Macaca fascicularis: one gene and its partners. The protein of the gene in region 5 purifies or fractionates together with the protein of the main gene of each other region. This does not show direct contact. Links are inferred from orthologs where the notes say so. Each region holds a gene or a part of one and is shown on either strand. Other genes may lie near its edges.

Evidence for each region.
Region 1: the proteins of SF3A2 (region 5) and PHF5A purify together in Homo sapiens (affinity purification with mass spectrometry; 5 studies listed by BioGRID and IntAct, with this or other methods). This does not show direct contact. The link is inferred for Macaca fascicularis from reciprocal best matches to the Homo sapiens genes SF3A2 and PHF5A.
Region 2: the proteins of SF3A2 (region 5) and PLRG1 purify together in Homo sapiens (affinity purification with mass spectrometry; 3 studies listed by BioGRID and IntAct, with this or other methods). This does not show direct contact. The link is inferred for Macaca fascicularis from reciprocal best matches to the Homo sapiens genes SF3A2 and PLRG1.
Region 3: the proteins of SF3A2 (region 5) and CHERP purify together in Homo sapiens (affinity purification with mass spectrometry; 3 studies listed by BioGRID, with this or other methods). This does not show direct contact. The link is inferred for Macaca fascicularis from reciprocal best matches to the Homo sapiens genes SF3A2 and CHERP.
Region 4: the proteins of SF3A2 (region 5) and SNRPD1 purify together in Homo sapiens (affinity purification with mass spectrometry; 4 studies listed by BioGRID and IntAct, with this or other methods). This does not show direct contact. The link is inferred for Macaca fascicularis from reciprocal best matches to the Homo sapiens genes SF3A2 and SNRPD1.
Region 6: the proteins of SF3A2 (region 5) and ZC3H18 purify together in Homo sapiens (affinity purification with mass spectrometry; 3 studies listed by BioGRID and IntAct, with this or other methods). This does not show direct contact. The link is inferred for Macaca fascicularis from reciprocal best matches to the Homo sapiens genes SF3A2 and ZC3H18.
Region 7: the proteins of SF3A2 (region 5) and RBM17 purify together in Homo sapiens (affinity purification with mass spectrometry; 4 studies listed by BioGRID and IntAct, counting the BioPlex papers as one, with this or other methods). This does not show direct contact. The link is inferred for Macaca fascicularis from reciprocal best matches to the Homo sapiens genes SF3A2 and RBM17.

The regions. Positions count from the first base shown.
Region 1 is NC_088384.1:10,143,560-10,148,119, reverse strand, and holds the start of PHF5A (PHD finger-like domain-containing protein 5A), read right to left. Parts: upstream 3,314-4,560; 5' UTR 3,285-3,313; coding exon 3,233-3,284; intron 2,783-3,232; coding exon 2,759-2,782; intron 2,268-2,758; coding exon 2,101-2,267; intron 1-2,100. Other genes in the region: ACO2 (aconitate hydratase, mitochondrial), read left to right, coding at 3,779-3,814.
Region 2 is NC_088379.1:159,465,557-159,470,162, forward strand, and holds the start of PLRG1 (pleiotropic regulator 1), read right to left. Parts: upstream 2,995-4,606; 5' UTR 2,909-2,994; coding exon 2,900-2,908; intron 1,526-2,899; coding exon 1,419-1,525; intron 1,136-1,418; exon of another isoform or gene 1,064-1,135; intron 440-1,063; coding exon 297-439; intron 1-296. UniProt on the Homo sapiens protein: Involved in pre-mRNA splicing as component of the spliceosome. Component of the PRP19-CDC5L complex that forms an integral part of the spliceosome and is required for activating pre-mRNA splicing.
Region 3 is NC_088393.1:16,859,474-16,863,581, reverse strand, and holds part of CHERP (calcium homeostasis endoplasmic reticulum protein), read left to right. Parts: coding exon 1-390; intron 391-3,675; coding exon 3,676-3,914; intron 3,915-4,108. UniProt on the Homo sapiens protein: Involved in calcium homeostasis, growth and proliferation.
Region 4 is NC_088392.1:68,136,058-68,140,165, forward strand, and holds part of SNRPD1 (small nuclear ribonucleoprotein Sm D1), read right to left. Parts: intron 3,846-4,108; coding exon 3,769-3,845; intron 2,182-3,768; coding exon 1,990-2,181; intron 1-1,989. UniProt on the Homo sapiens protein: Plays a role in pre-mRNA splicing as a core component of the spliceosomal U1, U2, U4 and U5 small nuclear ribonucleoproteins (snRNPs), the building blocks of the spliceosome.
Region 5 is NC_088393.1:2,906,357-2,909,145, forward strand, and holds the end of SF3A2 (splicing factor 3A subunit 2), read left to right. Parts: intron 1-37; coding exon 38-178; intron 179-760; coding exon 761-829; intron 830-922; coding exon 923-1,723; 3' UTR 1,724-1,834; downstream 1,835-2,789. Other genes in the region: AMH (muellerian-inhibiting factor), read left to right, coding at 2,512-2,789. UniProt on the Homo sapiens protein: Component of the 17S U2 SnRNP complex of the spliceosome, a large ribonucleoprotein complex that removes introns from transcribed pre-mRNAs.
Region 6 is NC_088394.1:84,469,292-84,474,149, forward strand, and holds the start of ZC3H18 (zinc finger CCCH domain-containing protein 18), read left to right. Parts: upstream 1-1,555; 5' UTR 1,556-1,719; intron 1,720-4,858.
Region 7 is NC_088383.1:7,058,639-7,062,746, reverse strand, and holds part of RBM17 (splicing factor 45), read right to left. Parts: intron 3,039-4,108; coding exon 2,897-3,038; intron 538-2,896; coding exon 386-537; intron 1-385. UniProt on the Homo sapiens protein: Splice factor that binds to the single-stranded 3'AG at the exon/intron border and promotes its utilization in the second catalytic step. Involved in the regulation of alternative splicing and the utilization of cryptic splice sites.

The DNA of each region.
Region 1 (4,560 bases), on a different chromosome or scaffold from region 5:
CTAAAAATACAAAAATTAGCCGGGGGTGGTGGCAGGCGCCTGTAATCCCAGCTACCCGGGAGGCTGAGGCAGGAGAATCACTTGAACCCGGGAGGCGGAGGTTGTGGTGAGCCGAGATGGCGCCACTGCACTCCAGCCTGGGCAACAAGAACGAAACTCTGTCTCAAAAAATAAAATAAAATAAAATAAATATATAAATAAAAGTACAACATGGTGAAATGGGGACACTACAAGGTTTCGTTGAATAGCCTGGGCTTGTCAGAGGAACTATAAAATGGGTATCATAATAATCATCCCTATTTCTCAAACTTATTGTGAGGAACAAGGTGTGATAACATCTATAAAAGACCTATTCTTTGCTCATGGAAATATGAAGAATTATGTATCTTTTGCCTTACTCTAAATTAGAATTAAATTAGGTAACTGGGCCAGGCGCAGTGGCTTAGGCCTGTAATCCCAGCACTTTGGGAGACGCAAGGTGGGCGGATCACTTGAGGTTGGGAGTTGAGGCCAGCCTGACCAACATGGAGAAACCCCGTCTCTACTAAAAATACAAAATGGGCTGGGCGTGGTGGCGCATGCCTGTAATCCCAGCTACCCGGGAGGCTGAGGCAGGAGAATTGCTTGAACCCAGGAGGCGGAGGTTGCGGTGAGCCGAGATTGTGCCACTGCACTCCAGCCTGGGCAACAAGAGTGAACTCCGTCTCAAAAAATAAAAAACAAATAAATAAATAAATTAGATAACTGGGTACTATCATTAACCTAGTGAGACTGTATCATACTTCCTTTTGTTTTGTTTTTTGAAGAAAACATGCTGATTCATAGTTTTCCCCCACAAAAACCCTGCTGCCAATACTAAACGAAAGAAATGGGGTAAACCTTGCCTGTAGCACTGGTCTATAAGCTCTCTCTCCTGGCATTTGGCTCAGAGAGTTGAATAGTAAGTAACCACTGCCACTACGCAGTGTCAAGGGACAAAAAAAAAGTCATGATGCAGGGCCACAATCACTTCTGCAATATTAAACCAAAGGTACTTGTTAACTGCTTAAAGCTGAAGTCAACTTGAATCGTCCCAAATTCAACTTTGTCACGATATACACCCGAATAGTGCTTAATGATAGATCTGAGACGTTAATGAGTGGCTATGACACAACATGGGCTGTACAGGCCTTATAAACAGACAGGGTCTCTGTCACCCAGGCTGGAGTGCAGTGGCATGAAAATGGCTCACTGTAGCCTTGACCTCCTGGGCCCAAGTGATCCTCCACCCGCCTCAGTTTCCCAAGTAGCTGGGACCACAGGTACACACCAGCACACCCGACTAATGAAAAATATGTTTTTCTGGCCAGGAGTGATGGTTCATGCCTGTAATCCCAGCACCTGGTGAGGCTAAGGCAGGAGGATCACTTGAGCCCAGGAGTTTGAGACCAACCTAGGCAACAAGACAAGACCCTGTCTCTACAAAAAAAAAATTAGCCAGGTGTGGTGGCGCATGCCTGCAGTCCCAGCTACTTGGGAGGATGAGGTGGGAGGATCGTTTGAGCCCGGGGGAGTCAAGGCTGCAGTGAGCCTTGCACGTGATCATGCCACTGCACCCCAGCCTGGGCCACAGAGCAAGAGACCCTGTCTCAAAAAAAAGGAAAACAAAAAAACAAAACAAAACCAAAAAACCAAATTGTTTTTTGTTGTTGTTTTTGAGATGGGATCTTGCTCTGTGACCCAGGCTAGTCTTGAACTCCTGGACTAAAGTGATCCTCATTAACTTGGACTCCCAAAGTGCTGAGATTACAGGTGTGAGCCACCACGCCCAGCCGGATGTCATTTCTGAATAAAAATAATCACAGAGAAACATGAATAGAGAGAGGGCTCTTCAAATTGCTGGTCTTGACAAAGATTTGCTTCCCTTGCATTTTTCCCCTTGATGCAAAATAACTGCCTTTTATTGAACTACACCCAGTTTGACTCACAGAACTTGAAAAAATTATAACCTAGATGACTAGATGAACACAGTAATCTCCATAGACCATAGGAGATTGCAGTGGATGGCAAAAAAGCAGGAAACAAAAGCAGGAAAGGTCAGATGGAAAGCTGTACACTTACATCCTTCTCCTGGATGGTGCACTCCTTACAATAATACGCATCAGAGACCCCAGGGCCTCCACAGATCACACAGCGTCCCTGGTAAGATCCATAGTTACACTCATCACATATGCGCACCAGAGTGCAGGGACGCACATAGGAGTCACAAATCACACACTTGCCATCACCTGTAAGGAAGAGAATGGAGTCATACTCACAACAAGTTCTTCAGTCCTCTGCTATCTCCTGCCATGGGGAAATACACTAGTCTCCTTTTGACAGTGACTTTAGGACCCTCCTCTTGGCATCACGAAACTTGGTTTACCCAGTATCCATCTCAAGTCCCTCAACATATACAAAAGTTTATCAATTAACATATGTAAAGAGCCTAGAAAATCACCTCAGAGATGATAAGCCTATATAATTGCCGGCAAAGTGCTGTGTATTAGGGAGGGGTCATGCTACTCTGGCAATTTTTCCTGTTGAAAACTAGAGAGATACAGCGTTAAATGTGCAAGTGGCAGTGGGGAGACAGAGGGGCCTTTGGTTGAAGTCCAGCATTCAGTGTTCACATACTTCCAGGCACATCTACTCAAAGCCCTCTTTGTGGCACTTTTGCTGGTTCCACAGAAACTGGGAGTGGGAAGGGTGGGCTGTTGGGACGGAAGGTTCCACTCACATTTTTCACACAGTCTTCCGATGGCTGCAAGATGAAAGATGGTTAAAAAGTACAATTAGAATAAAGGTTTTGACAAACGGGAAGTACATCCTCGAGCTGGGGGTAGGGACATGAGTACGGACTGCAGTGATACCTGCGGATAGCCATTTTATCATTACAAATTTCCAAATGAACCAAACCCACAGCCCAACCACCCTTCTGAATCTCCTCCAACGTCCTGGGGCAAGCTCTGAGTTTCTGTGGACCTGGCCCAGACCCCACCCCCGATACCTGCCTGGGGCTCCCAGCACGCGCACCCCCGCCCTCTTCTCATCAGCGGCCACAAACCTGTGCGTTCCTACAACACCCCGCGCCCGAGAGGCGGGAAACGTGGCGCCAGCTGGGCAAGCCACTAAGGAAGTGATGGGAACCCCCGACCCCCCAGCTCCTAATACCACCCCTACCCAGACAGACAGGGGCAGGGCGCAGTCTCACCAACACCAGCCTGCTTGCGGCAAAAGATCAAATCAGGATGATGTTTAGCCATAGCTCCCAATTAAGCCGGCCACCGGAAGCTTCCGGAACTTCCGTCCGACCTTTATTTCCCATTGTTCCTGCCTCCACGTCGCTGTGATTGGTCCTCTAAGCTTCCGTCAGTTTACGATCCTTGCACCAGGCCCCTCTTGCTCTCGCGCGAGTTTCTGTCGCTGCTGTGTGGCCAGGTCCTGGCAGGTGCATGAAAGTCTTAAAAACACTCCCAGATTTGGATGGCAGAGATAACTAAAATTTGTTCTTGGATAAAACATATTTGTGCTTGGTATCTACTTCTGCAAGTGTCTTTAGGCAGTTCTATTTCCTCTTGCGTGTCTGTTCATTACTCTTGAGCTCCGCTCATTGCGTTCCCAGGGTTCTGGTGCCCCTAGGGAGGCCTCGCCTTCACCGTGACGCCCCACTCTTCCGGGCACGCCCCTGCCCAAAGGCTTTAAAAGGCGCCGTTTGGGACGTCACTTGCATGCGACCTCATCTTTGTCAGTGCACAAAATGGCGCCCTACAGCCTACTGGTGACTCGGCTGCAGGTGAGCGAGCTCAGGGACCTCTGGGTTCACGGGGGCGGGGTGCCTCCTACTGTGCCGGCGGCTATGGGCGAGGCAGGGCGAGGCGGGCCCGACCTAGGGCCAACTTCTCGTGTACCTGTTCCGGTTGTGGGCCCGGCACCCGTGTCCGCTCCTCTGGTGCCCTAGGTCAAGGCGTCCCCGGCACAGTCAGCTTTCCTGGCCCTGTCCCCGCCTCGCAAGAAGCGTGGGCCCAAGCAGCGGCGGCCGGGTGAAGAGCGGAGGCACCTCTTTCTTCTTTTTGAGGACAGCATTCCCTGCTCCCGTGGGGTGTCTTTCCATTCCTCAAGGTGAGGACAAGGTGACTAGGGGGCGCGGTCGTTGTTGAGCCTTCTAGGCCCAGTTCCTGAGGCCTCACTTCCCATCTCTTAGCAACAGAGACATGACAGCATCTACGGTTGCCAGGCCTGGAGTCTGGAGAAGAAACTAGGACCCTGTACCACCTTTTGAGGACCCTGCGGAACATGGAATGCCCGAGGGGGGGAGGTGGTCTTCTGGGCCCCTACGTAGTAAATAATAATAATAGTCTCTCACGTTTGCACAAGATTTGAGGACTGTTTTTTAATTCTTCATAATATTATTTGATTCATGTAATCATAGGAATGAGATGATTTTTCTCATTTGATAGGTGATAAAACTGGTAGAAAGTAGGTGGAAGTTCTGGTTCTTAGAGTGTCACCGAAGTGCTGTGGCAGAAGCATGGGCCCTAC
Region 2 (4,606 bases), on a different chromosome or scaffold from region 5:
ACAGGTTAAGAATATTCTCCAATTTTTTCCTTTAATCTCTACTGTGACCTTCTCCACATTCTAAGAATCTCTGCCATCATTATACTACCATTTTTATTTCCTATAAGAAAAAAGTCATCAACCAATGTCTCAGTATTCCCACGAGGATAAAAACTTCCATTATAATACTGGTACAGCCATTAAATACTGTATGACCACACCTAAGTCCTGCCAGCAGGGGCAAAAATAACACATTTTATTTTTCTATTTTTAAAATTCACACATACGTCTGACATTTCTGATAATACCATACTCACCTTGATTGGCAGGGTACTGTTTATGAACATATGAATCCGTTGCATTCTGAGGACCCTTCTCTTTAAGATTTTCTTTCAAAGTAGGCATATGCAACACAGGACCATACTCATTACGAAGCTTGATTGCCATCTTCCGTTTGTGACTATTTAGAAATTATAAACATAAGAACGTATCCATAAATACTTTAAAACAAACACTTAGACAGCTTAAGTTTGCCCAATCATGTAGGAAAAGTTTCTAGTAAGATTTTAAGTAGTATTTAAAAGAATCAAAAATTTCCAAGTGCATTTCCCCACCATATCTGTTCTTTTGCTCACATTCCACCACACAGCATTCATTAAACCTAAGTAATATTTTAGTTTGTTACCTAATAGAAAATATTTTATGATAAATTATCAAGGGTCTGCTTGAAAGATATATAGAAACTAACATACCCTTTAAGAAACCTCAAAGTCAATACGCTTTCCTTCAAAATATAAATATAGTAAAAACTCTACAGCAACCTTTACTAGATGTATCCAAACAGGTTAGTTAGAACTAAGAAAAGTACTTAATTGGTTCAATATTTTAAAAAGAAATGCACTTATATTACTTTTAAAAATAGTCTACTTTACAAATTAAATATAAATGCTTGTTTGAGGAGTTAAGTCGATTTTAAAAGGGTAAAGGACAAAGAAGGAACACTGCACATAATGCAATCCCAGACTGGAGCTGGATATGTAGAACCAAAAATATGCCACCACTCAAAAATCTTCATCATACTAACGAGAAAAGATGGGAGTAGAGGTACTGGCCAGGTACAATTTCAGCTCAGCAAGGCTCTGAGAGCAGCGGGAAGCTGAAAGCACATACAAAGTGATTGATTATAAAATAAAATACCTAAAAGGGACTCTCTTAATTACTGGGTATTTGTAAAATGCAATTAATTAATGGAACTTTTACTGTAAAAGGCCAAAAAAAAAAAAAGTTAAATCAGCTTAAATTATGCCAAAACACCACTCATTATTGAATTAGCCCATGAGTATTGCCAGTTTATCTTTAAAGGTCTCCCTCTTCCTGCTCTCTTCCCCCAGTATTAGAATGTTAAATATTTCAGCAATTGAAAAAAAAACTATACCAACCTCTCTTCATCTAAAGGCACAGGTTTTCCATTATCAGCTACAAACATGTCATGGGTCCTCTTCAATGACCTGAACACAAGTGTGTGTACAGAATGTTTCTGTACCTCCTTAAAAAAAAAAAAAAAAAAAAAAGTAATTACACACCTATCTACAAATTACACAAATCATAACCTAACGTCAGATTGATTATACACTTCACATGTTTAAATATGTAAAAAGCTTTATACCACTCACCATAGCTACTTGTTGCGAGCTACAGGAGTCAAGTTCAGAGAAGAGGAGGAAGCTCCTCTTTGGCTAGAACCTCAGGTATAGCAACTGAGTGATGCCATAGTTTAGTCATTTACTCAATAAATATTTACTGAGCTCCTACTGTGTGTCTGGCAGGTATCGTGCTAGAATCTCACAATAGAATGATAAAAGGTAGTCATGGTCCCTGTGCTCAAGAGGAAACAGACAAATAAAAAGTAAAATAATTCCACATTTTGATAAGTGCTATGAGGGCAACAAGCAAGGCACTGGGTCGGGAAACGAAGGACTAAGTATAATTGTGAAAGACTTCACTAAAGTGATATTTAAGCAGAAAGGGAGTTAGCCTTGCACAAAACAGAGATAAAAACGAACCAGGCTGATGGAAATGTCATGTAAAAAAATGTTCAGTTAACTGAAATAATACAAGAAGGGCGGCACAGCTGTATATGGTGGATGAGATGGTGCTTTGTGGTTGCAAGGGTAGACAAGGTCCAGATTAGGTAAGGTATTTTAGACTATTACAACAGCCTATGTTTTCTTCTAGCAACACAGTCAGTAAAGGGTTTTAAACAAGAAAGGTATGAACAACTTACATTTTAAACAGAACAACTTATGGAACAAAATGGAAGCAAGGAAATCAACGGGGGGCTAATGCACCAGGCCCGGTGAAAGATGATGTTGGTCTCAATTAAGGTGGACTGCAGTGGATACGGAGAAAAGTGAATGGAATCAATAAACATGTGGGGTAACATGGACAAGACCAGCTAACAGAATGGCTGGCTGTTCATGCCAGGGAAAGATGTAAAGAATGGCAAGTTTTTCTGGGAGTAGAGTTGAAATAAGAGACGACTTGAACGCAAGATAGAGAAGACCGCCAATCTTTTCGGGCACAGAATCACTGACACTGCCCCGAGGGCGGCGAGTACCAGTGGTCGAACACCAACAGAGGCCCCGCCTCCAAGGACAGTTTCCAGCTCCCAAGAGTCAAACGAGGACTGGACGAATTATCTCAGGCTTAGCGCCCGGACTGAACCTCCGACTCGGGTTCTCATCCGGCTTCTACCCCTTCCCCGAAAACCCGATGAAGAGACCACCCGGCCTTGGCCAAACAGCTTCCCTCGTAGCCTCTTTTCTCTCCGGACTCCAAGCACTCTCAATCCCCCAAGCCCACTGCCAAAGAAAAACAGTCCAGAGACAAACGACTCTTGAGAGTCCCAGTGTCACTTTACCTCGACCATGATGCTACCGCGTATCCCACCTCCGGCAGAGAAGAAACCCTAATCACTAACGCAGTACCCGCCGCCACAACTGTGCTGCACCTTCCGGAATTGGGAGGCCAGGCGGCGGATGTGATGCAAGCTCTGCGCACGCGCGCTAGTCTCCCCCGGCCCTCTGGGATCAAGAGGCGGGTCTCCCTCCTCAGGACCGCCCCTAGGGCGGAGGCTCGAGGCTGTAGAGGGGAGACACCTGGAAGCGCCTGACTGGAGGATTTCACTCGCTCCTCTGAAGAAGTCTTCGAATTATGTTTTCTGCCTTACCTTCAGCCTTCAATGTCTTGGCTGGGGCCCTGGTTGTTCATGCTGTATTCCCCGGAGTTTAATGCTTTTTATTCAGAGAGCCTAAGCTCTCTGGAGAGCAAACTCCCGTGGGCTCTATCTAAGGCGCTTCCGCTGCCTTGATCTCTTTGGAGGTCGCCTGCTTGCTTTCTGTCTCCTGGTTCCAATCCTGGCGAGAAGCACTTGGACACTTGTAGGCTTAACACCTGAAAACAATTTCGCTTAAACAGTTCAGTAAACACTTGCTGAGTGAATGTTGAGGAATGGCTGTTTTAATTTGGAAAATTTTGACATGTAGATATAAGAAAAACCCATATTCATTTTCTGCTAATAGATTTTTTTTTTTTTAACTTCTCAACGCTACATAGCTCTTGGACATTTCCTAGTTGTCTGCTGATTATTGTGGCTTCAACAATGCCAGGGTACAGCTTTTCAAAGCTGGTAGAAGAAAGACACAATTGGAGACTTTAGCCATTTTTATTTATACATATCCTTGTGCCAAGTATTGGTATTTTTGCTTCCTACCCTGGTAAAATCTCCGGTTTTGATCAACCCTACCTAATTATTTTTCTATGTAAAAAGAAAAATGGATGGACTTGGGCATTTGCAAACTTAAATAGACAAAACATTTTACTGGCCCTGTTTCAGTTTCACTGATCTGTCCTGACAGCGTACTGCATACACTTTGAGAGGGGGAAACAATCTAGCAAAAGAATAGCAGTGTAAATCAACGTCACTTGGAAATTCATTAAAAACATTAAGGTCATGGTTTTTTGTTTGTTTGAGAGGGAGTTTTGTTCTTGTCGCCCAGGCTGGAGGGCCATGGCGCAATCTTGGCTCACTGCAACCTCCTCCTCCTGGGTTCAAGCGAGTCTCCTGCCTCAGCCTCCGGAGTAGCTGGGATTACAGGCGCCCGCCACCACGCCCGGCTAATTTTTGTATTTTTAGTAGAGACGGGGTTTCACCATGTTGGCCAGGCTGGTCTTAAACTCCTGACCTCAGGTGATCTGCCCCTCTCGGCCTCCCAAAGTGCAGGAATTACAGGCATGGGACCCCGCGCCCGGCCTTAAGGTCATGTTTTTGCTTGAAGATAAAACATCCCTGAATTTGACTGTGAGTTTGTCCTAAGAACTGATTTTCTGTAAAAGTGGCCGGTGATGGTATTTCCTTGCAAGAAAATACTATAATTAAAAAATATATACTTGAGGAACTAAATAATATACTCACCTATGAATAATAACTATAGAAAACAATGATTTGAAATGACAATAAAACCATAGAAACCTAAGCAAGACTAATATCTATGGAAAATATTAATTGTCTGGTTGGACCTATTAACTTTTTACATACTTAATCATCCTGGAGACATTAATTTATAGG
Region 3 (4,108 bases), about 14 Mb from region 5:
ACTGCCCCCCCTGGAACAACAGCCACGAAGGCATGTGGGGCGAGCAGCGTGGTGACCCTGGCTGGAACGGCCAGCGCGACGCGCCCTGGAACAACCAGCCTGACCCGGCCTGGAACAGCCAGTTCGAGGGCCCCTGGAACAGCCAGCACGAGCAGCCGCCCTGGGGCGGGGGCCAGCGCGAGCCGCCCTTCCGCATGCAGCGGCCCCCACACTTCCGGGGGCCCTTCCCGCCCCACCAGCAGCACCCGCAGTTCAACCAGCCTCCACACCCCCACAACTTCAACCGCTTCCCGCCCCGCTTCATGCAGGACGACTTCCCGCCACGGCACCCCTTCGAGCGGCCGCCCTATCCCCACCGCTTCGACTACCCCCAGGGGGACTTCCCTGCCGGTGAGTGTGCGGGCGCCCGGGTAGGGCCTGGCGGAGGCACCCACGGCTGGCCTGCCGAGCAGGCTGGTAGCACTGCTTGTGGTCCTGGTATGCTCCCGAGTGCACAGTGACACAGGCACAGGGTCATGGAACGTCCGAAGAGCCCGGCCCGGGTTCTCAGGAAGTGGGGACACAGACTGTGCCTTGCCGCCCTGATTAGGCCAGGCTGGCTGCAGAGATGCAACTCCGTCCCCTCCTCCCAGCCGCCCCAGGAGCTGTGTGCACTGTCTGCAGATGAGGCAGATCCAGTAGGAAAAGCTTTCCGCTGTGGGTGGCCGTGGCTAGTGCAGGGCGGGGCCTCATTCTTTTTACTGCTGCTGCTTGCTTTTTGCATCAGTTTTCCCATTTGTGTGTTTATTTACTTTTTTTTTTTTTTTTTTTTTGAGACGGAGTCTGGCTCTGTCGCCGGGCTGGAGTGCAGTGGCCGGATCTCAGCTCACTGCAAGCTCCACCTTCCGGGTTCACGCCATTCTCCTGCCTCAGCCTCCGGAGTAGCTGGGACTACAGGCGCCCGCCACCTCGCTCGGCTAGTTTTTTGTATTTTTTAGTAGAGACGGGGTTTCACCGTGTTCGCCAGGATGGTCTCGATCTCCTGACCTCGTGATCCGCCCGTCTCGGCCTCCCAAAGTGCTGGGATTACAGGCTTGAGCCACCGCGCCCGGCCTATTTTATTTACTTTTGAGACGGAGTCTCGCTCTGTTGCCTAGGCTGGAGTGCAGTGGCAGAGGCTCACTGCAAGCTCCGCCTCCCGGGTTCACACCATTCTCCTGCCTCAGCCTCCTGAGTAGGTGGGACTACAGACGCCCGCCACCACGCCTGGCTAATTTTATTTTGTGTTTTTAGTAGAGACGGGGTTTCACCGTGTTAGCCGAGATGGTCTCAATCTCGTGACCTCATGATCTACCCGTCTCGACCTCCCAAAGTGTTGGGATTACAGGCGTGAGCCACCGTGCCCCGCCCCATTTTCCCGTTTTATTAGGTCGTTTTAAAAATCAACACTCGGAGTGGTATCGGGTACCTGTGGTCCTAGCTGTTCAGAGAAGGCTGAGGTTGCAGTGAGCTATGCTCGCACCACTGTACTCCACCCTGGGCAACAGACCCTGTCTCAAAAAAAAAAAAAAAGTTTTCTTTTTAAAGAATTTTTTTTTTTTTTTTTTTTTTTTTTTTTTTTTAGACGGAGTCTCGCTCTATCGCCCAGGCTGGAGTGCAGTGGCGCGATCTCCGCTCACTGCAAGCTCCGCCTCCCGGGTTCACGCCATTCTCCTGCCTCAGCCTCCCGAGCAGCTGGGACTACAGGCGCCCGCCACCTCGCCCGGCTAGTTTTTTTTTTTAGTGGAGACGGGGTTTCACCGTGTTAGCCAGGATGGTCTCGATCTCCTGACCTCGTGATCCGCCCGTCTCGGCCTCCCAAAGTGCTGGGATTACAGGCTTGAGCCACCGCGCCCGGCCTTAAAAAATTTTTTATCTTTTAGTTTAAATAGAGATGGGGTCTTGCTATGTTGGCCAGGCTACTCTCAGTCATCCCACCTCAGCCTCTGGAGTGGCTGGGTCCACAGATGTGAGGCACCATGCCCAGTATCTTTTTCATTCAATTTATTTCTTTTTTTTTTTTTTTTTTTTTTTTTTTTTGAGACAGAGTCTGGCTCTGCCGCCCAGGCTGGAGTGCAATGGCCGGATCTCAGCTCACTGCAAGCTCCGCCTCCCGGGTTCACGCCATTCTCCTGCCTCAGCCTCCCGAGTAGCTGGAACTACAGGCGCCTGCCACCTCGCCCGGCTAATGTTTTGTATTTTTAGTAGAGACGGGGTTTCACCGTGTTAGCCAGGATGGTCTCGATCTCCTGACCTCGTGATCCGCCCGTCTCGGCCTCCCAAAGTGCTGGGATTACAGGCTTGAGCCACCGCGCCCGGCTCATTCAATTTATTTCTAATCTTTTAGTGCTTCCTTTTTTTTTTTTTTTTTCCTTTTTCTTTTTCTTTGAGACAGAGCGTCACCCTGTTGCCCATGCTGGAGTGCAGTGGTGGAATCTCAGCTCATTGCAACCTCTGCCTCCCAGGTTCAAGTGATTCTCCTGCCTCAGCCTCCCGAGTAGCTGGGATTACAGGCACCCACCACCACACCTGGCTAATTTTTTGTACCTTTAGTAGAGACAGGGTTTCACCATGTTGGCCTGGCTGGTCTCGAACTCCTGACCTCAGGTGATCCTCCCACCTCAGCCTCCCAAGGTGCTGGGGTTACAAGTGTGAGCCACCACACTTGGCCTTTTGTTGTTGTTGTTTGTTTTTTTGAGACTGAGTCTCACTCTGTCACCCAGGCTGGAGTGCAGTGGCACAGTCTTGGCTCACTGCAGCCTCCTTTCAGGTTCAAGTGATTCTCCCACCTCAGCCTCCTCAGTAGCTGGGATTACAGGCACCAGCGACTATGCCCAGCTAATATTTGTATTTTTAGTAGACGGGGTTTCGCCATGTTGGCCAGGCTGGTCTCAAACTCTGGGCCTCAAGTGATCCACCCGCCTTGGCCTCCCAAAGTGCTGGGATTACAGGCGTGAGCCACCGTGCCCAGCATTGTATGTTTAAAGACATTCCTGATTATAAATGCAGTTTGGAGACCGCTAGGCACATTTATTGCTTTTACTTTTTGGCTTGGGCTGACATGATAAAGTCCCACAGCCTGGATGGCTTAAACAGCTGGAATGTATTTGTCTTAAGGATCTCGGGGCTGGAGGTCTGAGGTGAAGGTGTGGCAGATTCGGGTTAGTGTCTTGGAGGCCTGTCTCCTTGGCTCATAGGTGACCGTCTTCTCTCTACATGTTTGTGTCCTAATCTCTCTTTATAAGGGCACCCGTCACATTGGATTAGGGCCACCATGGCTTCATTTTAACTCATTTGTGTCTTTAAAGGCCCTGTCTCCAAATACAGTTCCGTCCTGAGCTAAGCTATGGGGGCTGGGACTTCGGCGTATGGATTCGGAGGGTCACAACTTAGCCCTCACGTTGCAGTTTGGGGGTTTTGTGGTTCTCTTCCCTCAGCCTCAAGCTCTCTCGGCTGTGCCTATGGGTGCGGGACAGGCCCCTCAGAGCCTGGCTCCTCCCTGCCTGGCTGCCTGGTCTAGAGCAGTGAGAGAAGGTGCTGGGCAGGCTCCCGGGAGGGCTGGCCTCCTGGCCCCTCACTGAGGCCCTCCCCTCCAGCACTTGTCACCTAGGACATCCTGACTGGCCTGTGGACCTGAGACAAGTCTCTGTTTTGCAGAAATGGGCCCCCCTCACCACCACCCTGGCCATCGCATGCCTCATCCTGGTATCAACGAGCACCCGCCCTGGGCTGGACCCCAGCACCCCGACTTCGGCCCTCCCCCCCACGGCTTCAACGGGCAGCCCCCACACATGCGGCGACAGGGCCCGCCCCACATCAACCACGATGACCCCAGCCTGGTCCCCAACGTGCCCTATTTCGATCTCCCTGCCGGGCTGATGGCCCCCCTCGTGAAGGTAACGCCCCGCGGTGGGCTCCAAGCTGAGCATGCTCACCACGCTGGCCCCCATTTCTCCTGGTGAAAAGTGAACACACAGGATTGGGTGCCTCCTGGGGCGCCCCTTCCTCATCTCCCACCCCCTAGGGACCCTGATCCATCAGTGGGAGGCGTCTGAAGTGGAGTTGCATGGTGTGGCCATGAGCGACGCCA
Region 4 (4,108 bases), on a different chromosome or scaffold from region 5:
AACAACAACAACAATAAAAGGGCTGGGGACCTGTAATCCCAGCTACTCGGGAGGCTGAGGCAGGAGAATTACTTGAATCCGGGAGGCAGAGGTTGTAGTGAGGCCTGGGCGACAGAGCATGACTCTGTCTCAAAAAAAAAAAAGAAATAAAAAGAAAAGAAAATGGACCAGGTATGATGGTGGCTCACACCTGTAATCCCAGCACTTTGAGAGGCCACAGCAGGATTGTTTGAGACCAAGAGTTCAAGACTAGCCTGGACAACACAGGGAGACCCTGTCTCTACAAAAAAATTAAAAAATTAGCCAGATTTGGTGGTGCATATCTGTATAAAAGAAAGATAAATTAAGAAAACAACTTTTTAAGAAGTGGGGAGTGGGTGGGGGGCAGGCATAAATAATTTTATTTATTTTTTTGAGACAGAGTTTCACTCTTGTTGCACAGGCTGGAGTGCAATGGCACGATCTCAGCTCACGGCATGGGCCACCGCGCCCAGCCAATTTCAGTTATTTTAAACTATATTATTTTAAATGTGTACACACAAAAACAGTAAGTCTAGGACGCATGTTAAAATGAACCAAATTGACCACACTTATCTCCAATTTCTTCTGAAATAGTATTTATGATAGAAAAGGAACAAAAACGGTAAGTACCCAGAAGAACAAAGAAAAGCAGAGAAAACATAGTAGATAAAAGATTTCGGCTGGGCGTGGTGGCTCATGCCTGTAATCCCAGCACTCTGGAAGGCTGAGGTAGGTAAATCACTTGAGGTCAGGGGTATGAGGCCAGCCTGATCAACACGATGAAACCCCGTCTCTACTAAAAATACAAAATTAGCTGGGTGCGGTGGCACACACCTATAATCCCAGCTACTTGGGAGGCTGAAACAGAAGAATCGTTAGAACCCAGGAGGCGGAGGTTGCAGTGAGCTGAAATCGCGCCACTGCACTCCAGCTTGGGTAACAAGAGTGAAACTCCATCTAAAAAAAAAAAAAAAAAAGAAAACAAAAAAATTTTTTTCAACAAAATTTTAAATCAGAAAATAGACTTGGAACTGTAACATTTAGTAAAGGAAGAATAACTTCTCAGCGTGGAGTAAGATGATACGAGGCAGGGGGCTTTCAATCATCAATTCCCTCACAGGTAGGTAGGTAGTAAAAGTAGAATAACCCTAAAGACATTAAGGCAAAAAGTCCTCAGATTTGAAAATACAGTCAGCCTTCAATATCCATGGGTTCCACATCCATGGATTTAACCAACTTTAGGCCTATGATGGTTGTCAGACTTTTTCTTGTCATTAACGCCTAAACAATACAATATAACTATCTACAAAGCATTTACATTATACTGGGTATTACAAGTGTACAAAAGGATGTGCAGAGGTTAGATGGAAACACTATTACCATTTTATGAAAAGGGACTTGAGCATCTGTAGATTTTGGTACCCACAGGGGGTTCTTGCAAAGTGGAAAGCAGCATGATACACAGCATGAGAGGTTAAATCATTGTTTTACAAGCTATGGATTACAACCATATTATTATTATTATTTTGAAACAGAGTCTCACTCTGTAGCCCAGGCCGGAGTGCAGTGGCATGATCTTGGCTCACAGCAACCTCCGCCTCCCGGGTTCAAGTGATTCTTCTGCCTCAGCCTCCCAAGTAACTGGGACTAAAGGCATGCGCCACCACGCCCAATTTTTTTTTTGCATTTTTAGTAGAGATGGGATTTCTCCATGTTGACCAGGCTGGTCTGGAACTCCTGGCCTCAGATGATCTGCCCGCCTCGGCCTCCCAAAGTGCTAGGATTACAGGCGTGAGCCACTGTGTCCAGCCGCATCAATGTTTTTAATAGCAACACCAGGAGTTATAATACACATTATAAGAAATATTAAAAAACAAAGACACTTGTGTTGTTTGCAAATATTTATATTATGAATAGTGTGGATTAGGATTAGCATTCACAAAAATTTTTATAATCCTTCAAACTTACCAGCTTCCCTTTTCTTAGATTTCACCTTAGGTTCAACATCCACAAGTAGTGTATCCAGAGGTAAACTGTCTGGTAGAATAAAATACCGAATGTTATTTCCTCGAATACTCAGCGTTTCCAGCTGTACAGGTTCTCTGTTCTTCAGGGTCATTTTCACAGCTTTAAGATGTGTATTCATGCTGACATCCACACCTAAAAAGAAAATAATTGGGCAGTTATTAGTATGATAAAAGTCAGGCAACTAATTAATCTACTGAGCCACAGTAAATACTGGACTACAAAAGAATACTGTTCTGCTACAGTGCAAGTTTTCTATGACATAATTTAGCACATATGCAACTGGTAAATGGGGGAATAACGTCAGTATAAATCAGCAGTGTTTCCTTCCTAGAGATTTTTCCTAGCACACTAAGTTTTGCTTACAGAAATGAATGCAGCAAGCAATGGAAGAACCCTGACTGGGCTTCAGGCTCACTACTGATCTGACAGGTATTTCTTGAATGTTTCTCTCACTGTCTTTGTGACTTTCTCATAATCCCCATTCCACTAAACTATCCTCACCTTTGTTTCTGCTTCTCTCTATATGTAATAATTGTTACCACTTTTGTTAAGAATATTTTGATTACAAAGTTACACAGGCTTTTAAGTAGTCTGCAACACCTATTCTTCTCATTAAGCTACTATTTTTAGTATGAGAGTTTACAAAATACAAAGCAATTTTTTAGGGTGATTATATGACATTATAGCTGAAACACCTGAATACTGAAGCCTTTACCAAATTATACCTGAACTAATGGGATAACTAAAGACCTACTTAGGCCAGGTTTGGTGGCTCACGCCTGTAATCCCAGCACTTTGGGAGGCCGAGGCGGGCGGATCAACTGAGGTCTTCTGACCAGCCCGGTCCAGTTCAAGATCAGCCTGGCTGACATGCTGAAACCTCGTCTCTACTAAAAATACAAAAATTAGGCCAGTGCAGTGACTTGACTCACGCCTGAAATCCCAGCACTCTGGGAGGCCGAGGCGGATGGATCATGAGGTCACAAGTTCGAGACCAAAACCCCATCTCTACCAAAATTAATCAGACCCTGGAGGCGGAGGTTGCAGTGAGCTGAGACTGTGCCACTGCACTCCAGCCTGGGCAACAGAGTGAGAATCCGTCTCAAAAAAAAAAAAAATGTACCCAGGCATGCTGGCAGGCACCTGTAGTCCCAGCCACTCGGGAGGCTGAGACAAAAGAATTGCTTGACCCCAGGCAGCGGAGGTTACAGTGAGCCGAGATCATGACACTGCACTCAAGCCCAGGTGACACAGCAAAACTCTGTTTAAAAAAAAAAATAGGCCGGGCGCGGTGGCTCACGCCTGTAATCCCAGCACTTTGGGAGGCCGAGGCGGGCGGATCACAAGGTCAGGAGATCGAGACCACGGTGAAACCCCGTCTCTACTAAAAATACAAAAAATTAGCCGGGCGCGGTTGTGGGCGCCTGTAGTCCCAGCTACTCAGGAGGCTGAGGCAGGAGAATGGCGTGAACCCGGGAGGCGGAGCTTGCAGTGAGCCAAGATCGCGCCACTGCACTCCAGCCTGGGCGACAGAGCGAGACTCCGTCTCAAAAAAAAATAAATAAATAAAAAAATCAATCAATCAATCAATTACATAATTCAGACAAAAGAATAAGAATCTGTACTACAATAACGTTCATTAAGCAATCAAAAAATAAACTCTGGATAGCAGGTAAAAGAGAAGAAAAAAATGTTATAAAAGTAGTCCAACCTCCGTACCTGTGATTGTTCCATGGACCTGTGTTCCGTTCTTCAATTCAATGGTTACAGTTTCATGACTCAATTTCATCAAAAATCTATAAATAGGAATAAAACCATTAATTTTTACCTGCAACACTTTAAAATCACATTTATTAAGGTAAAAAGATGAAACAACTAGACGCTGAAAATTTGTAGATGCTATCTGCATCAATTCCTATCAAGAATATGCTAACAATTTCAGCTTTCCTGAATCATATCCTCAACCTTTATGAAGGAACACAACAATACTAAAATGAACTGTCATTTGGACGTTTCTAATTCTCAAACCTCAAATCCAGACATACAAGATCTCAGACTC
Region 5 (2,789 bases):
TGAAAGGTGGCGCTGCCACCCGGCTGTGTCCCCACAGATCGACTACCCTGAGATCGCCGAGGGCATCATGCCACGCCACCGCTTCATGTCTGCGTACGAGCAGAGGATTGAGCCTCCGGACCGGCGCTGGCAGTACCTGCTCATGGCTGCTGAGCCCTATGAGACCATCGCCTTCAAGGTAGCATGGCTGCGGGGTCCCCTGGGCCCCAGGGCCCCCTGAGATGTGCGAGCCAGAAGGATCTGCACAGGCTGGGCAGGGCGCCCCTCCTATCAGGCTGTGGGGTCCCCTGGGATCCCCGAGACGGAGCCAGAAGGGTCTGTGCAGGCTGGGCAGGGTACCCCTCCCATTGGGCTTTGCAGGAGGGGGCCTGCTTGGGCTCCACTGTGCCCATGGAGAAGGGAGGCCGGCAGGGCTGAGCGCTGGGCCTGTGAGGCCTTCGCCAAGTGACCTCGCTTCTTGGTCTAGGCTGCTGGAGGGCTTCCCACAGCCTGTGCCTACGCCTGGACAAAGCAGCCATCAGGAAACAATACAAACGGTGCCTGTCCAGGGCGGGGGCTAGCGTGTGCTAGCGTGGAGGCCGGGTCTGTGTCACTCCAGAACTGAACCCTGTGCCCATCGAAAGTCTTACCAGGCCGGGGCCTTCTCTTGGGCTCCCAGGGTGGAGTCCGGGCCGGGGAGGCTAACGCCTCAGGCTCCCTGCCTGATGGCTACCCTGAGGTCACAGGGACCAGGAGCCCTCTCTGTCCCCCGCCTTCCCAGGTGCCGAGCAGAGAGATTGACAAGGCGGAGGGCAAGTTCTGGACACACTGGAACCGGGAGACCAAGCAGGTGAGTGGCTAGCCCTGAGCTTGGCTCCTTCCTGCCCAGCCCCGGTGGCCCTAGCCCTGCCCGTGCCTGCTGAACCTTTCTCCGTCTCTCTAGTTCTTCCTCCAGTTCCACTTTAAGATGGAGAAGCCCCCGGCTCCGCCCAGCCTCCCCGCCGGCCCCCCTGGGGTGAAGCGGCCTCCACCTCCGCTGATGAATGGTCTGCCCCCTCGGCCACCGCTGCCCGAGTCTTTGCCACCGCCACCGCCGGGAGGCCTACCTCTGCCACCCATGCCCCCCACGGGGCCTGCACCCTCAGGGCCCCCGGGACCACCCCAGCTACCCCCGCCAGCTCCAGGGGTCCACCCCCCGGCCCCAGTGGTGCATCCCCCCACCTCTGGCGTCCATCCCCCAGCTCCTGGGGTCCATCCCCCAGCTCCTGGCGTCCATCCCCCAGCCCCTGGGGTCCACCCACCAACCTCTGGGGTCCACCCCCCGGCTCCCGGAGTCCACCCTCCAGCCCCCGGGGTTCACCCTCCAGCCCCCGGGGTTCACCCACCAGCCCCTGGAGTCCACCCACCAGCCCCTGGGGTTCACCCACCAGCCCCGGGGGTCCATCCTCCCCCATCAGCGGGGGTTCACCCCCAGGCCCCAGGGGTACACCCAGCAGCCCCTGCTGTTCACCCTCAGGCCCCGGGGGTGCACCCACCAGCCCCAGGGATGCACTCTCAGGCCCCGGGAGTCCACCCCCAACCTCCCGGGGTCCATCCATCAGCTCCTGGGGTCCACCCTCAGCCTCCTGGAGTTCACCCCTCAAATCCTGGGGTACACCCCCCAACTCCCATGCCCCCAATGCTGAGGCCCCCACTCCCCTCCGAAGGCCCAGGGAACATACCTCCCCCTCCCCCAACCAACTGAGAAGCTGCTCCCTCCCCCAGCAAGCTCAGCGCCAGGTGCTCCTGCCTTTTGCCATCGAGAGAAGGCTGCTCTTTTGTACCGCCCCCTGCTCATTAAACAGCCTTCCCCAGCCCCGAGTGCACTGATGTCTGCAGCGCCGCCCTCCCTTGTCAGTGCTGTGTGGGAGTGCCAGGCACAGCACCATCCCTGAGTTTGCGCCGACTGGGGAGGGCCTGGGGCCTGCCGGGAGACACCTGTGGGAGGCCTGAGAGACAGCTGTACCTTGGAGGTGGCCTGGTGGAGGACAGACTCCACCAGCCAGCTAGGAGGGGGTCTGGGGTCCTGTCCTGGGGAGGGAAGAGCAGACTCTTGTGATATCCTTGGGGTCTCCAGATAGCCTACCAGGGGTTGGGAGGGTGAGCAGGGACAGGGCGCCCCCACTGACTTGGGACCCTCCTCCTCCAGGCCCACCCCTTAGCACCCAGGACATCTGGGCCCCCCGCCCCCAGCGCTGTCTAGTCTGGCTGCTTGGCCATCACTCCCAGCCTGGTTCCCACTCCTGTGCCTTCTGGGGACGGGCCCTCAAGGACAGCATGTTGACAAATCAGGCCCAGCTCTATCGCTGTGGGGAGGGAGATAGGCTGCTGGCGACAGAAAGGGCTCTTTGAGAAGGCCACTCTGCCTGGAGTGGGGGCGCTGGGCACTGTCCCCCAAGGTCGCGGCAGAGGAGATAGGGGCCTGTCCTTTACAAACACCCCACCTTCCACTCGGCTTCCACAAGGCGGGCAGCCCAGCTCCTGGCAGCACCCATGACGCGGGACCTGCCTCTCACCAGTCTGACCCTGGTACTGTCTGCCCTGGGGGCTCTGCTGGGGACTGAGGCCCTCAGAGCAGAAGAACCAGCTGTGGGCACCGGTGGCCTCATCTTCCGAGAAGACCTGGACTGGCCGCCAGGCAGCCCACAAGAGCCTCTGTGCCTGGTGGCACTGGGTGGGGACAGCAATGGCAGCGGCACCCCCCTGCAGGTCATGGGAGTTCTGAGCGCCTATGAGCGGGCCTTCCTGGGGGCCGTGCAGCGGGCCCACTG
Region 6 (4,858 bases), on a different chromosome or scaffold from region 5:
TGCCTGGGCCCCACTTGAAGAACCCTGTTGAGGGTAGCACGGCTGGTCACAGGGCACTTCTTCTTTTAAACTGACATTGTTTTCCAAAGAGGCTGTGATCAACAGAGTTTACTGTTCATGAAACTCAGATCGCAGCCAGGCACGTGTCGGTCACAGCCGGTGCCGGCTGCTCCTTTGCATGGATGGTAATGTCCATGCAGGTTTATGTTTGTCAACTGGCCGTTGCTGGGTGGGACTGTCTTACCGACACATAAAGCCTACAGAAGGCGCCAACTCGCGTTACAGGGCTGCTCCTGACACGACCAAAATCACCAGGGTGGAATTCACACTCCTCTTACATAACCATAACAAGTTGCTGGGATCACAGGCATGTACCACCATGTCCTGTTAATTTTTTTGTAGAGGCAGGGGTCTTGCTTTGTTGCCCAGGCTGGCCTCAAACTCCTGGAGGAGGTGGTACTCCAAGCTTGGCCTCCCAAAGTGCTAGGATTACAGGCGTGAGCCACAGGGCCACGTCTGTGGTACGTCTTCCAAGGACAGGAATCCTATCAGATCAGGATCCCACCCTTATAATCTCATTTAACCTTAATTCTCTAAAGGCCCTTTCTGCAAACACAGTCACATTGGGGATTACGGCTTCACATACAAATGTTAGGGGGACAGAACTCGGTCCATAGCATGGAGTCGCACAGTATTTGTCCTTTTGTGATTGGCTTGCTTTACTTAATATGTTTCCAAGGTTCACCCACGTTGTGGCACGGGTCTGAACTTCACTCTTCTGGATGGCTGACTCACATTCCACTGCATGGACAGGCCGCATTTTGTCTGTTCATCAGTTCCTCCACATCTCGCTCCCTTGTTTCCACCCTGGGGATATGGAGGAAGATGGGGTGGGCGAAGTCCTGTGACCCCCAGGACCAGCCACATCGTTGGCAGGGGACAGTGCAGGATGAAACCGTGGGCCCCTGGTCTTGGGCCGGGCCCTCCGTCTCTAGAGCAGCTCGCACCGCTGCAGCCCCTGGACGTCCCAGGCTGTGGACGCGCCCGGGGGACGCCGCGATGAGCAGGACACGGGACAGGTCCCCTTGCTGGCGCTGCTCGCGTTGAACCGCGCGGGGAGCTGGGCAGCCCATGGGAGAGGTAAGAATTGTTAGGCTTTTAATCTAAAGTCGATACCTGAAAAAATAATTCCGGAGCTAAGCATTTAATATCAACATTCAATAAAGCAGGAGATATCAGCCCGACGAAAACCGCTTTAAGTTTTCCGCGTTGAACTCGATCATCCCCCAGGGATGAAGAACCCACCAGCCGAGCCAGAGCCCCGTCACGTGACCCGGCGGCCACGGGGAGCCCTGTGCGCAGGCGCTGAGCCGGACTCCCGCTCCCGAGGAGCGAACTCCCTGTGGCGCCTGCGCTGTAGCGGGGGCTCAGCGGGCGCGCGCGCGTCCGGGCGCGCGCCGCGGGGGCGGAGCCGCGCGGAGGCCGGAAGGAAACTGGAGGGGGCGGGGCGAGGGAGGGAAGCCCGCCGGCCGTAGGACGACCGTCGCGGCCTGATGACGTCGCACAATGGCCGGCCCCCGCGGGTAGTGGAGCCCGTTTGTTCCGCCCGCGTCGAGCCTGGAGCCAGAGCCTGTGAGGAACGGAAGGGCCAAGGGACGTCTTCTCCACGCCGCTCCGACTCCAGCAGCGCCGTGGCCCCCTCTCCGTCCTAGCGCTGAGGTTAGCGGGGGCCGGGCGGGCGGCGGGAGGCCGGGCCGGCGGCGGCGGGAGGAGGAGGCCGCCGAGGCGGCGGCGGCGGCGGGAGTGAGGCCCGGGACCCTGGCGCGCCTCCGGCCGTGCGGACCCGCCGACCGAAGACTGGCCCTTGGGCCAAGGGAGGGGGACCTTGAGACAGGCACCACCCCGCGTTCCGTCCGTAAGCGGCCCCGCGGTCCTGGGGCGCCCTCAGCGCCTGAGCTCCTCGCGCGCTGCCTCCGCGCCCCGCGGCGGAGTTTATTTTCCTGAAGCTGTCATTTCTCTTCCGGGCCACTCGCGTGGCACATGTGTGCCGCCCGCTAAGGGGCGGTGAGAGGCGCCCAGGTTAACCTCCGGAATAGGTCAGCCCTTGCTGTTTCTGGGCTCTTCGGAGAACTTTGAGCTCTTCATGAGCCTCCTGGAACTTGCGCCGCAGCTTCAGAGTGTGCACAGGTTGGACGTGGTGATTGCCCCAAGACGCGCGCCGGTCTCTTAGGAGTATGTAACTTCCTTGCCCCTTGGATCAGGAGATCAGAGGTGCTGGGTCCTTTATATAAACTAACTGCAGATATAATGCTGGAAGAACCGAAACTTACAGCCTTGCTCCTGCCAAAAATTAAGTTTTCCTGACTACTTTGTGACAGCTGAGTTTGCCGGTTAGAGTGGCCGTTTTAAATGAGCTTTGTTCCGCTAACTCATTTGCAAGGGTAGGTCATTCTTCAGACCCGTTTGGGAAAATGGAAGAAGAGAGTGTTTGGCATCTGCAGTACCGTTTGGGGTGTAGCAAGGCGCTCGTCATTTCTCCTGAGACTCACTTCCAGCTTGTTGTCTGTAGAGTGGTCCTTTCCCGTTCAGTTGTTGAGATTCTCCTGGTGAGCCTTGACCTCGGCTGAATCCCGCTTCCCAGCCTTGGGAGGAGAGTCTTTGCCTGATAATTTTACTATCTAAGGGCAGTATGGAACCCAGCCAGCCCTGGAACCGGTCAAATGTGTCCCAAAGCCGGAAACTCCTCTCCCATTTTAGGTGGGACATGCTGAAATGTTGTAAGAAAGCTTTGTGGAGTCACTCCAGAAAGCAAACAGGTAAGTTAACCTGTGGCCTAGATCGTGTTTCAAGAGATTTGTATTTTGTCACGGCTACAGAGCATCTCAAGGTGAGTACCTCCTTATCAAGCAGTTTAGTGGTCAAGCTTGGTCAGTTTGCGAGTGGGGTCTGTCACCAACCTTGATAACTTTCATTTAGATATTGTAAGCCCGTGAGGTTATGAGTCAGAATTTTAACCAGATGTTCCAGAACTCAGGCATTCAAATAGGGACTGCTCTGTTGAAAATAACTGTCCCAAAATGTTGTGCTTGTATTTCATTGGTGCTTCTTTGCCAAAACCTCTTTAGAACTCCTGTTTTGGTAGTAAAAATGTAGTCATATGGGAAAATCAGTTTTATTCAGTAGTCACCCTCCAGGTTTGACCAAAAGTTGTCTTATGTGGTTGGTAACTTACCTTATCAGGTGAGACTCTGACTTGCAGCACTTATCAGAGACTAGCTTGAGAGGAGGAAGATTTGCCACCACGGAGAACACCAGAAGACTTCTTCAGGCTTGGAAGGTCATTCGAAATGAGAAGGTTCCCAAATGCTCTGCATTTCAGCAGTGCCATTGGAGTCTGTGCATCCTCCCAGAGGGACTGCTTGGAAGGGAGGTAGCACCTAGTCTTTATTATTACTATTATTTTTTGAGACGGAGTCTCACTCTGTTGCCCAGGCTGGAGTGCAGTGGCACGATCTTGGCTCACTGCAACCTCCTCCTCCTGGGCACTTATTTTCAATTCCTTTCTGGTAGGCAACAGGTAGTTCCTCAAGTAATGAGATTTTTGTCATGTATCAACAAATATTTATCAAGTATCATCTGCCAAATGCAGAAAGCAACAGAGTTGGGATGACGGGTACTTGTTACTTCATTCCTTAGGCAAGCTTACCCATCTGATGAATCGGAGGGCTAAGGATTTAGTTCTAAATCATGCTGAGAATCTTCAGTTATAGAGTGATAGTGTACGAAGACCAAACTGAGCACGAATTGCAAACATAGGTGTCAGTTGAGACTTGTCTGCTGACACCCGTGTCTACGCTTTTCATTTCATTGTCTACACTTACGAGGCTACGTTTCTTTTCCTGGCACCTTATTATTATTTTTTGAAATGGAGTGTCACTCTGTTGCCCAGGCTGGAGTGCAGTGGCACGATCTGGGCTCACTGTAACCTCCTCCTCCTGGGTTTGAGTGATTCTCTTGCCTCAGCCTCCTGAGTAGCTGGGACTACAGGCACGTGCCACCATGCCCAGCTAATTTTTGTATTTTTAGTAGAGACGGGGTTTCACTGTGTTTTGGCCAAGTTGGTCTCGAACTTCCGACCTCGTGATCCACCCGCCTCAGCCTCCCAAAGTGCTGGGATTACAGGCATGAGCCACCACACCCAGCCAATTGTGTGATTTTTTAAAACTAGTTTGAGGGGACGTTTAGTTTTGCATAAAAGTCAGTTTATTTAAGAGATCACTTTGTTTGCAAGGTTGACATTAGACTATAAAACATGAGAATCAGAATTTGTCACATTTCAGGTCTGGGTTCAGCTTGGGACATCCTGCTGGGTACCAGGTGCTCCACTTCGGCAGCTGGGGAGATGTAAACTACCTGCCCTTCTATGAGGAAGATGTTTATACATTGTCATAAAAATTGTACAAGGAGGCCGGGCGCGGTGGCTCAAGCCTGTAATCCCAGCACTTTGGGAGGCCGAGACCATCCTGCCTAACACGGTGAAAGCCCGTCTCTACTAAAAAATACAAAAAACTAGCCAGGCGAGGTGGCGGGCGCCTGTAGTCCCAGCTACTCGGGAGGCTGAGGCAGGAGAATGGCGTAAACCCGGGAGGTGGAACTTGTAGTGAGCTGAGATCCAGCCACTGCACTCCAGCCTGGGCAACAGAGCGAGACTCTGTCTCAAAAAAAAAAAATTGTACAAAGATAGTATAGGATGTTACTAATGTCATTAGCTAGGCAAGAGAGAGAATTGCCAGTTTGCCACTGGTGACTTACTGCTACAACCCCACATGCACTCTGATTCTTGAACAGTGAGAGCGTA
Region 7 (4,108 bases), on a different chromosome or scaffold from region 5:
GAGATGGAGATGGCAGGTATATTCACTGCCACACTATATGGCTCTGTCCTTCATGCTCTAAACACATAACCAAGATTTCTTCCTGAGAACTATTCATTTTCTGCCCAAGTCTCTCACCATCTTTTCCTCCACGAGCCTTCATCTCTCTACCTCTGTTCTGAAAAAATAAAGATGAGCCTCAGGATTCCTGGCTTCACAAAACAGAAGTGGCAGTGCATCATATGATCAGGATGGCCTTTGTTCTAGTGACGGCGGGGCCAGCCCTCTCCCTCTGGCCACACTCGTCATCGTCCCCCTGCTGGCATATCAGGATCAAGACTGGCCACGTCTGATACGGACGGGGCCAGTCCTTTCCCCCTAGCCACACGCTTCCCTGGGGACATACCTTTCTCTGTGGCGTCACCCACGATGATCTTGCCGCCACGCTTGCTGGTCTTCTCCACTGACAAGGCGGTGCTCAGCCCCTGCTCGTGCTTCCCCAGACCCTGGCCCTCCCGGAAGCCGTACTTCTGCATGATCTTGTGCGCCACCGTGCCCCTGGCAGGAGGAGAAGGGAAAGGACTCTTAGCTTGGACATCGTCAACTGGAGACAGGTTGCATTTTTCCATCATAACCACCTCCTTCTGGAGAGAGTGCATGCTCCACAGGGGTTTCAACAAAGTCACTCATTAACTAGGAGTGGGCTATCAGATGGAAGCTATGGGGATGTGCAGCATGAGAGAAACAGAAAAGGCTATGACTAAAATCCAGAATATTCTGTTGTCTTGGAGGAGAAATGCCAGTTTCTCTGGTGGAGTCTCCTCAGTGCCCTGCTAGGAAACACAAGACCTTTTGTGTGCTCTGGACCTGCACTGCCACATAGCTTGTAACCACAGTTTATTAAAAAGTGGCTATCAAAAAGTAAGTATGAAGTTTCATATAATGAAGATGATCCCATTTCCTGAATGGCACAGGAGAGTTTCCAATGACAGACTATGTAAATGAAAGAACCCTTAGAGATCACCTATTTAACAAATGAGAAATAAACGGAGGCTAAGATTAGTTGACTAGCTTAAGGGGTGGACTTAGAAGTAAAGCAAGACGCCACATTAGAAATTATTTGTACAGGCCGGGTGCAGTTGCTCACGCTTGTAATCCCAGCACTGGGAGGCCGAGGTGGGTGGATCACCTGAGGTCAGGAGTTCAAGACCAGCCTGGCCAACACGGTGAAACCTCACCTCTATTAAAAATGTAAAAATTAGCCAGGCATGGTGGTGTGCACCTGTAGTCCTAGCTACTTGGCAGGCTGAGGCAGAGAATTGCTTGAACTCGGGAGGCAGAGGCTGCAGTAAGCTGAGATTGCACCACTGCACTACAGCCTGGGCAACAGAGTGAGACTCCATCTCAAAAAACAAATAAATTATCTGTACAGCTGTTAATGGTAGAGCTGAAACTGGACCCTACAACTCTCAGTCCACTGCTTTCTGTAATAACCAAATGGCTCTCACACTGTGCTGTGAGGTGTGGTATGGGGCTGAAGGGCACCCCCACCCCATGACCACTGCTGCTTAGGGCTTAAGCCACAAAACTCTGCTTCAACTGGAACTGCACCTACATTACTTCTTGTATTTAATTCCCTTAACATGTTCATTTGAACAAGCTATTCTAGGGCTAAAAAGACCAAAAACTGCTGAATGGTACCACCTTGCATCTTTCCTAAGCACAAGTTAAAGATGTAATTCCTGGTTAAAAGCAAATTCAGTAAAAAGTCAATTTCTATCATAAACAGGGAAAACAAAACATAACCAGCTTCATGTCTGTCCAACCCTCCAGCACACAAAGCTTCCTGCAGCCACAGCCATGTCCTATGTCTGCACCATCCAACATGGTCACCACTTGCATGTGGTCACTGAGCACTTGAAAGACTAGTGAGTTTCAACTCCACTGGCTGTCTCACCGGCTGCATTTCCGCTACAGGCAGCAGCCGGCAGATGCAACACAGCACAGAACAAAGCGTTCGTGTGATGCCACTTCATGGGACAGCCGTTTCACAGGATCAAAATCAACACCATAGAATATCCTCTTAACCAAAATGTTTGCCAAGCCCAGTACAGTTTAAAAAAATCCTCGGCCGGGCGCGGTGGCTCAAGCCTGTAATCCCAGCACTTTGGGAGGCCGAGACGGGCGGATCACGAGGTCAGGAGATCGAGACCATCCTGGCTAACATGGTGAAACCCCGTCTCTACTAAAATATACAAAAAACTAGCCGGGCGAGGTGGCGGGCGCCTGTAGTCCCAGCTACTCGGGAGGCTGAGGCAGGAGAATGGCGTGAACCCGGGAGGCGGAGCTTGCAGTGAGCTGAGATCCGGCCACTGCACTCCAGCCTGGGCGGCAGAGCAAGACTCCGTCTCAAAAAAAAAAAAAAAAATCCTCAAGCCCCACCTGAGTGTCAACCTTACAGTCAACTTTTATATGCTGGCAAGCAAATGTCTACTTGTAGTTAGAATGACCCTGAGAACCATGACCTTAAAGCAAATGGCCCACTTTATCAGGGAAAAAAGTATCACCTGTCCTTTGCAGATAGTAAGTCAACTCTGATTCATATGAGCTATTTTATTTGCAAATGTCATGAAAACAAATGTAAACAGTTATCAGGTTCTGTACCTGTCTAGAAAAATAATGTTCAACATCAAAATGAGTCAAAACTTCTACTGGAAGGTTGCTGTTTTGAACGAGCCCCATCATTACACTGGAATACGCTCCACATGATTGAGGCAGGCACCGTGTGACCTGCACACACCAAGAGTCTCCCCACAGCCTGAATGTCCTCAGTTTCAAACAAGCGGCATCTGTTGAAAGGGCTATCAATGCTTCACACTGTCTCTCAAGTCCTTAGATAAGAACATTAAATCATTACCCCATGTTAGCGAGGAAGGAGTTGCTAGGCCCAGTTGGAGATCTCGGTCTGTCTTGTTCCTCGTACACTGGGGGAGGAATGGCAGCTTTGGAAGACTGTGATCGAGGTCTTGAGTCCTCTTCATAAGGAAAATCTCGGGGTACTATTGGAGAAATATAAAGTAGTCTCACCAAAATACTATAGAAAACCCTCTGAAACCTCACTTGTATCAATTATTTATCTCGAACAAATTTAACCTACTTTTTGGTTTACCACAAGGAGAAAAACACCAAATCAATTTTACAGCCTTTATATGACTTTTTTTTAAAACCAGAGGAAAGTCACTATTTTCCTGATTCCAGCTTTGCTTTTGCTATTTCTATCTCCTCAAACGTCCTTTTTATACTTTACTGAAATGTTATTTACCCTTTAAAATCTCATTGAATGAATATTCTTGCTGGAAAGAGCTTCTGTATGTTCCAAGGAGATACAATCAGGCCATCTTTTGACTCCCGCAGCACCTTGTGTGCACCTGTCTAGACCCTGACCTATCTCATCAGCCTCACAGCCCACAAAGGTCTCCGAGGTTAGGGGCCATGCACTGGAGCGGTGGCTTCAACCCTAGTTACATGAAAGTCAGCAGGAAGCTTTAAGACCATCCAGATGCCTTGAGCCCCACTCCCAGTGACTGGTTTCAATTGGGGTTTATTGTTTGTCCGTTGTTTTCACGTAACAGGCATTTCATAACATCTTAGAAATTATCTTCTTTAAAAGATAAATAAAATCCAACAAGTTTTAAAAAGTACTATAAATGAGAATATCTGCTTGGGATAGTTTAGGTATGGTCCAATCCAGAGAATGGGAAAATGACCTAGATGATATTCAGAAGTCCAATCCCAATCCCCAAATTCTAAGGAACAGTGGGCGAGGGTGTTTTGGCAATACAATGACACGCAAACCCAACTGCACTGAAATGGAAAGGGAAGAAAAAAATCTAATCAAGGAAGGCATTGCCACCTTGTGGAGGGTCATGAATATAACAGCCTCTAAACCTCTGAGTTAAAAAACTGTAATGATCTGCTGTTTTAACTCCAAATGAATCTAACAAGTAAGATATGTTAACGAAAACAAAGTGAATTGCATAAAAGAGATGGATTCCACTGCATGAAATCCAAGCCTCAGAGCCTGGCATAGAAAGGTCTCTGCAGGAGGGAGGGCACTGCATTCTGAGAT